Schizosaccharomyces pombe: one gene and its partner. Changing the gene in region 1 together with any one later gene gives a genetic interaction. Each region holds a gene or a part of one and is shown in the gene's direction. Other genes may lie near its edges.

Region 1 (5,624 bases):
GCCTATAACATTTTTCTTTTCTTTGGTTAGAATCTTTCTAAGCCTCTATATCGTTTATATAGGTTTTTACTCTGTGTCTTTACAGAATTAATCATATAAAAAATGTCTGTCTATCAAACTCGTGAAGGTTTGCCCAGTGGATGGGTTGCTCAATGGGATGCTGAATATGGAACATACTTTTATGTTAACGAGTCAGCTCAAAATCCACAGCCCCAATGGGAACCACCAGTCGAAAATCTGAAACTTGCTCCTCCTCCAGGAGCCACAAGCGTTAATACAGCTGTGTATAATAACAATAACAATACTTCTGCTGCGAATACGAATGCTGCATACAATGCTAATACTGCTGCAAATGCCAATGCTAACACTGCCACGACTACCAATGCTGCCGCTACTACCAGCGCTGCATATAACCCCAATGCCCCTGCCAATACCAATGCTGCATACTATCCTAATGCTGCTGCCACTACCACTACCAATGCAGATGGTAGTGATAAAGGGCTGTTCAGTGGGCTTACCTCTTCTAATGGCTACACCACTGGCAACTCTTACAGTAGACCAAGCTACGTTGCTCCTGTCGCTGCAGGGTTAGGTGGATTGGCCTTAGGTGGCCTGGCTTCACACGCACTTGGCAATCTCTTTCACCATCGTGGTCATAACGGTGGTGGTTTCGGAGGTTTTGGTGGTGGTTCTGGCGGTCCTCCTCCTGGTCCTGGTGGATTTGGAGGCTTTGGAGGCTTTGGAGGTGAAGGCCATCATCATGGTGGTCACGGTGGCTTTGGAGGCGGCCCTGGAGGTTTTGAGGGCGGTCCTGGTGGCTTCGGAGGCGGTCCTGGCGGCTTTGGAGGCGGTCTTGGAGGTTTTGGAGGAGGCCCCGGAGGCTTTGGGGGTGGTCCTGGAGGTCATGGCGGTCCTGGTTGGTGAGACTGAGAAACATGGAACTAAATATTTGTTTATGAGCTTTTTATGTGAGTATATTGCGCAATAGATATTAAGTCGATACCGTTAAAAAATTTTTTATGTTTATACTCAGTTATTTTGCTAAAGTGAAATTGAATTTTATTAAGGTAGGACTTTCTGAAAGTATTAAGTAGAGCTGGGCAATTTTAGAAGTGCACATAGAAAAGCTCGCAAGCAAGCAATTTTGATATCCCTGTGTTGTTGTTTTTTAGGTTTATGTAGGAATGATTCAATGCAACAGTTTAGATATAGGTAAACATAAGTGCTGTATCTATAGCTGTGGAAACAATTCATGCTTGTTCATACGTAACATTTTATGCGCAAGTATTAAAAGATTCTAAAAAATATCTATTATGTTCATTATCTCGCACACGTCAAACCCAGTCTACTTCGAAATGCGTACGTGTATACTTTGGCTGTATACAATCTGAAATTTGAAATTTAAAGCTGTCAGATTAGCTTCTATTAATATTGCGTAAATCGGTTAGTTCAGAGTCTTTTATCCCAATACTTCGTCAGATTTGTATACTTTCTTCATTAAAAGTACATGTTTATCTTAACATAGAAGAGGTAAGTACCGCTAATTAACCGAATTGCAACTTGTAATTATAACAGCCAAATCATTTCAAACCAGAAGAGTGCAAGTTTAAAAAAAAAACCGATAGAACAACATACAGTGCCGCATTCAAACTACACATACATAGGGTTTCATCTCGTGGTATATAACGAGTCAATAGAGCATTCTCAATGTTAAAAAATACGGAATATTGTGGTTCTTTACAAAACTCATTACCTTCTCAATAGTACCACTAAAATCAGTGATAACTGTTTCAGAGGCGTCCGTATATACCTTTTTTACTGTTGTATCTTAATTAGCCAATTTTCTCGTATCTTCTTTCTATGTTTCAGCTCATTGTTTTGATTATAGCGATGGTGTTCACCGTTGCTGCTATCCTATTGCCGCATCCTTAAACTTCCATAAGCTCTATAGGTGTCAGGTAGACTACGTCATTGAGTAACGAACTACATCAGCGTAAATTTGGTTTAGAATGTATGAGAACTTAGCAACTCCAAACCACAAATATCAACGACAGGATTATAGACTGATACATAGAAGAAACTAGCAGTTCTTTTAAAATTTTTTTAGGATTTAACGATTTATACCTATTGGGGTACTAAGAATTTGGTAGAGTTACTCAAATTCAGTTAAAGACACGGATTTTCCTTATACGTAATTAGTGTCGATTTTCTGAAATCTTGCTTGCTATTTTATAGCTTAGAACGAAAAAGCAGGAATTTGTTTTGTTTTGTTTTTTTAAAAAAAAAAACACTTTATCTTGTGAATTGCTTTGGAAAGTGAGCGTATTCCTCGTAGGAGCTTTTGAATTTTTGATATATCGTTAGCTTGTAGTGAAGGAAACGGAAGCCATCAACGGAATAACCTTGTTCTCCATCATTTGCTATCATTCGTGAATAGGAACAATAAAGAGAAAAAAAATACATTTTTAAAGAAGTTTATATATACATTGATCTAATAGTGAAAATATTTAACACGAATAAGTTTGTTTCATATGCCTTCGAAATTTTCCTCTAAATACGTGGATACAGAAGCCATTTCAAATGATGATGACAATCCCTTTGCAACCGCTAAGAGTTATTACTCCAAGGATACAGACTTGTCGACTCGGGTAAGTGCTGGCCGTCCTCGCACCTTATCCACTTCGATGGAGGCATCCGCCGCACCAACTATACCAGAATTAAAGAATTTACGTCGACGTGGAAGTCTTGATGAACATAAACAACCACGAAAATTTCTTGTTGATGTTGATAAGACATTGAATGCACTTTTGGAATCTGAAGACACCGACCGGAACATGCAAATCACCATCGAGGATACCGGACCTAAAGTTGTTTCCCTTGGCAGCGCTAGCTCGGGTGGATATCGCTTGTATGAGCTTCGCGGCACATATCAATTGTCAAATTTACTTCAGGAATTGACCTTGGCAAAGGATTATGGACGTCGATATATTTTACTTGATGAGCGAAGACTTAATGAAAACCCTGTGAACCGACTTTCTAGACTCATCAAAGGTACCTTTTGGGATGCCCTTACTCGAAGAATCGATGCCAGTGTTTTGGATGTTATTTGCCGTGATACCAAAGACCGATCAGGATCACACGTGAATCGAATTTATGTTCCTAAAGCCGAACAAGAGATGTATGAATACTATGTTCGCGCTGCTAAGGAAAGGCCTTACTTGAATTTACAGGTCGAATATCTGCCGGAAGAGATTACTCCAGAATGGGTGAGAGATGTAAATGATAAGCCAGGGTTACTTGCACTTGCAATGGAAAAATACCAAGATGATGAAGGCAATACACATCTTCGAGGTGTGCCATTTGTCGTTCCTGGTGGCCGGTTTAATGAACTGTACGGCTGGGACTCTTACTTTGAATCACTGGGTTTGCTTGTTGACGATCGGGTTGACTTGGCGAAAGGTATGGTGGAGAATTTTATTTTTGAAATTACCTATTACGGTAAGATCTTGAATGCCAACCGCACTTATTATCTTCTTCGCTCCCAGCCTCCATTTTTGACCGATATGGCCCTTCGAGTTTATGAACGTATAAAAAACGAAGAAGGATCTTTAGACTTTTTGCATCGGGCCTTTTCTGCGACTATAAAAGAATATCACACTGTTTGGACTGCCACTCCACGACTGGATCCCAAAACTGGTCTTTCCCGCTATCGCCCTGGAGGACTCGGTATTCCTCCGGAAACTGAAGCTTCTCATTTTGAGCATTTGCTTCGTCCTTACATGGAGAAGTATCATATGACTCTTGAGGAGTTTACTCATGCATACAATTACCAACAAATTCATGAACCCGCGTTGGATGAGTATTTCGTGCACGACCGCGCAGTTCGCGAAAGCGGGCATGATACTACTTATCGGTTGGAAAAAGTTTGTGCTGACTTGGCCACCGTGGATCTGAACTCGTTGCTATACAAATATGAAACCGACATCTCACATGTGATTTTAGAATATTTCGATGACAAGTTTGTACTTCCAAACGGAACTATAGAAACTTCTGCCATTTGGGATCGTCGTGCTCGTGCTCGTCGTGCTGCAATGGAAAAGTATCTTTGGTCAGAAGCTGATTCGATGTGGTATGATTACAACACGAAGTTAGAAACGAAGAGTACTTATGAAAGTGCTACTGCTTTCTGGGCCTTGTGGGCCGGTGTGGCAACTCCCCGTCAAGCCGCAAAATTTGTTGATGTTAGTCTTCCCAAGTTTGAAGTTGCTGGAGGTATAGTTGCTGGTACAAAGAGAAGCTTGGGTAAAGTGGGTCTTGATAATCCCAGCCGTCAATGGGATTATCCTAATGGCTGGAGCCCTCAGCAGATTTTAGCTTGGTATGGATTGATTCGATACGGATATGAAGAGGAGACTCGTAGACTTGTATATCGTTGGCTATATACTATTACTAAATCGTTTGTTGATTTTAATGGTATTGTTGTTGAAAAATATGATTTGACCAGACCAGTTGATCCACATCGTGTTGAAGCTGAGTATGGTAATCAGGGTGTCAATATCAAAGGCGTTGCTCGCGAAGGTTTTGGATGGGTTAATGCCAGTTACGAAGTCGGCCTTACATTCTGTAATTCGCATATGCGTCGGGCTCTTGGTGCTTGTACGACTCCTGATGTTTTCTTTGCCGGCATCAAGGAAGAATCTCTTCCTGCTTTCGAAAACCTTTCCATTCATAAAAATTAAGTTATCGTTTGCTTGAAAAAAATAATCGACTTTGTCTACTTTTTTAGTTGCCTTTAGCTTTATTCTCTTATTATGTTATTTTGGTTATCGACCGGTTAAAACCCATTGTTATGTTACATGTTATACCTTCCATTAAATCCTTCTACTATGAAGGTTCTATTTGGCGAATATTCCCTTACGAAACAATAGTTAATTCTATTTAAATTTATGAGTAAAGCTTATCACCAGCGATATTATTACTTTTTTACTTAAAAGAAAGAAGTAGTAAATGAATTTTTTACCTTACGATTCAATTCTAATTTATAATTTCCATGATAGTACTGTTGTTGCAGTTTTAGTCCGAATATAACTCTAATGTTTAATTTGGTGTCTATCACTTTATTAGTTTTTTTTTTGAAGGAATTGTCTTCTAGAAACTTATTTTGAGTTAATGTACCGTATTATGTCGTTCACATTTGTAGACAACATAAGTTGGCCACTTCCTTACACAACAACAGTATATTATTAAAATGTGTTATGGTTCGATATTCATTAAGAAAGGTAAGAGATGCTTAAAGAGATAAGGATATGAGTAAATTTAGTGTTTGAAGTTCGTAATTATCGTTCGCTTTTGAATGTGAATGTTAACAAAATTAGGCGCATGAATACGCCCGAGATGGGGAAAATCAGGAAGTTTTGGGAGAAATTTCACAAGCAATTATGTATTATGGATTAGCAAAAAGTCAGTTTGAAAAGATATGTCAGAACACAGCTCAGCCTCTTATTAAAAGATGCGCAAATAACCAAATCGAAGAGTTGATGGTTCGTATACGCGAGTTACGAGAATCATTGCCAAACAAACAAACACCAATATCAATGTCAATGTCTACGAGATTATCACCTATG
Region 2 (2,787 bases), 4.3 Mb from region 1:
GTAACAACTTACGAAAATGCTTCAAAAGCCAGATTTTTTAGAAGAATGCTAAATGCATTTATCTTTATATTCTGTGCATCTCCAATGTTGCATTACCTGTCGAATATTATATTTGGAAACTTTGATTACAGACTGTCGGTGATCATTGGTGATCTTTTCACTTTTATGGAGAAAATTGCTTTTCCATGTTACATAATGTTTCCCACCCATAATGAAGCACTTGCCTACAATCGAAATGTAGCTGAAGAGGCTCAAGAGAAAATGATTTGACAAAAACCATGGTTTACTTGATTCACCTTTAAAGGGGTTACCGGGATTATTTTATTTATTATTTGTTTATCAATGGATTAATATCCAGTTATTTTAATCTCACTTTTTTACACAGAAATTGTGTAGTAAGTTCATTCTTATTTAATATACCACCTATTTATTTTTTACAAATGAATATTTTTTTACTGGAACGTTTTAAATACACATAACCTTTGAGTCGATGTGAAATAATGTTTTGTTCAAACTTAAAAGTTGCGAATCTGACATATAGACAAAAAAAAAATAAAAAGAAAAAACTGGTTACCTTCATAAACATATTTTGCTAATTTATTGAATTTAATTATTTTCAACTTGCTTTCCCATTTTCCCAACAATTTTTTTATCTATAATATATATTTTACAAAATTAATATAGTACATCGCATGGTTTTCTTTAAAACGACATAAACGTATAATAATAAACGGGGATTCAAAGTAATAAATCGAATCCAAATCAACTTTCAAATACATCCATTTCATCTACTTTACCCTTATATTCCCCTTCATATCCCCAACAAAAAACAGGAATTTGCGAAAGTAGTAAATGGTAAAAGTGAATAAATAGAATCAAGGTTAAAAGCTTACTTGTATGCATAAGAAGATAACTCCCTCCTCTTTACTTTTGCTTAAAAACAGATTCTGAGATTCGGGACTAGCATCGGTAATATAAGTTTTTCTTTCATACTGTTGAGTACTAGCATCAGAACCCTTAATGGTAGGAAGATCATCATCATGACTACGCCTTTGTTCAATCGAGTAAACATTTGCTGGTTCGTGCCAGTCACACTGAGAACAACAAAGTACCTATTATTAAAAATGTTAGCAAGCGATCGCTAACAAGTTGAAAAGTAAACACCTCCAACTATTCCATGGAAAGCATGTAACAATGAAGATCAATGAATGGCTATTAGCTTAACAAACTTGTAAACTCAAAACAGACTAACAACGTTTGTCAGGCACTAAGAGCAATAATGGAACAGACTTCATATCAAACGCTTTCTTGAATGTTCTTACCTTATTCGTATAAACCGGAAGAACAGGCACAATGAGAACCGTTACGGTTTTCAACTGACGACATACTCGGACTAAAAACAAAAGAAAGAGCCAATTGCTTTCGAAACTACTGAACTTGTTTATTTCTCGTACCAGTCTTCTTTGAACTAAAAAAAAAAAAAAGCATTAGCAAAATGTGTTGTCAAACGGATAAAAAGAGAACAGGAAGAAGATTGCTGGAAACAATTTTAAAACAGCGAATAAAAAAAAAAGAAAAAATAATAATAATAATAAACAAAATACGAGTCGCTAATTTTTGAAACTAATCGCTTCCAACAACTGTTTCATTATAACTTCACCATTTTAATATTGTCCCCAAACAGCATGATTTAATTCTCTTTCACTAATTTCATACCACACAGGACACGTAAGTAAAACATCCTTATAATCGTCAGTGGATATCCACATATCTCGTAAATGTAATGGCATTGTTAAAAAAAATAAACACTCAAGTGAATAGAATTATGAAGAATTCGAGTCTAGTTCAAAATATTTGTTTTGACAGAGTCCCTCTATTTATACCAAGACTAAGCCTCACAGTGAAATATTGTCTAGCAGTAAAATTGCTGATTTATTTATTATATTGTTGGTACATTTACTCGGAAGTACCATCGGTTTCATCTAAATTCCGATCCTTTACATTTGGATGCGTCGTAGTATATCATAACAAATTTTTTCCTCGTTTCATTAGAACTCACTCCATTAACTCCATTAGAACGTTTTCTAAATTTCAAGTCATTATACTTTTCTCTATTGAGAAAGTCACTAGGTCAGAAAGCAAGAATCATTCTTACTCGAAAACCGATATTAGTGATCTGCACCAGGGCTATAATAATCCACCATCAAGATTCATATCACGATAACAATTCCATAGTATCTTGCTATATACGTGTAATGAGTATTCGATACTGGCTTGATTGCTATTTCTCCTTTGCTTGTAATCGTAAAATTGACTTGAAGATCTAAACCTTCTAATGCAATCATTGGAATTCTGCCTAACCTGATCAAATATGGCTTGATCGCCGTTATGTTAAAAGCAGAAGCTATGCCAATCAGTATGATTGTAACTTACAAAAAAATATAGCACAACGACATACAACATTATGGTACAATAAAGAGGACTTGATATATCAAGAACGAGGTTCAGTTTGTGCTCCGTTTATATTATTGTATTTCTATATATGACATTACTTGATGCAATCGCTTAAATATGTACTTTTGTGTAGTTATACTCGCAAGTACAGTAGCATTTTTAAAGTAGCGGTGATGTTGACGAATGGTTTGTTTCAAATCCATCCATTTCAATTTCAATTGTAAATTTCTCTTTTTCAATTATTAATCAAGTAAGTTGAAGTGTATCAGCACAATAAATTCTGACTATTACTACTCTTAAAATAAAACTCAAGCGAAACTAATTTTTAATAGC

The links.
Region 2: mutations in ntp1 (region 1) and ftm7 together harm fitness more than expected from each alone (negative genetic interaction), as found in Schizosaccharomyces pombe (one large-scale study listed by BioGRID).

What each region holds. Positions count from the first base shown.
Region 1 is NC_003423.3:204,547-210,170, forward strand, and holds ntp1 (alpha,alpha-trehalase Ntp1), read left to right. Parts: upstream 1-2,034; 5' UTR 2,035-2,531; coding exon 2,532-4,739; 3' UTR 4,740-5,095; downstream 5,096-5,624. Other genes in the region: protein wwm2, read left to right, coding at 103-924; protein Atg38, read left to right, coding at 5,256-5,279, 5,376-5,624.
Region 2 is NC_003423.3:4,501,393-4,504,179, reverse strand, and holds ftm7 (transmembrane helix domain-containing protein), read left to right. Parts: upstream 1-1,783; coding exon 1,784-2,224; downstream 2,225-2,787. Other genes in the region: SPOM_SPBPB2B2.19C (transmembrane helix domain-containing protein), read left to right, coding at 1-270; SPOM_SPBPB2B2.18 (uncharacterized protein), read right to left, coding at 516-653, 894-1,112, 1,323-1,393, 1,455-1,488.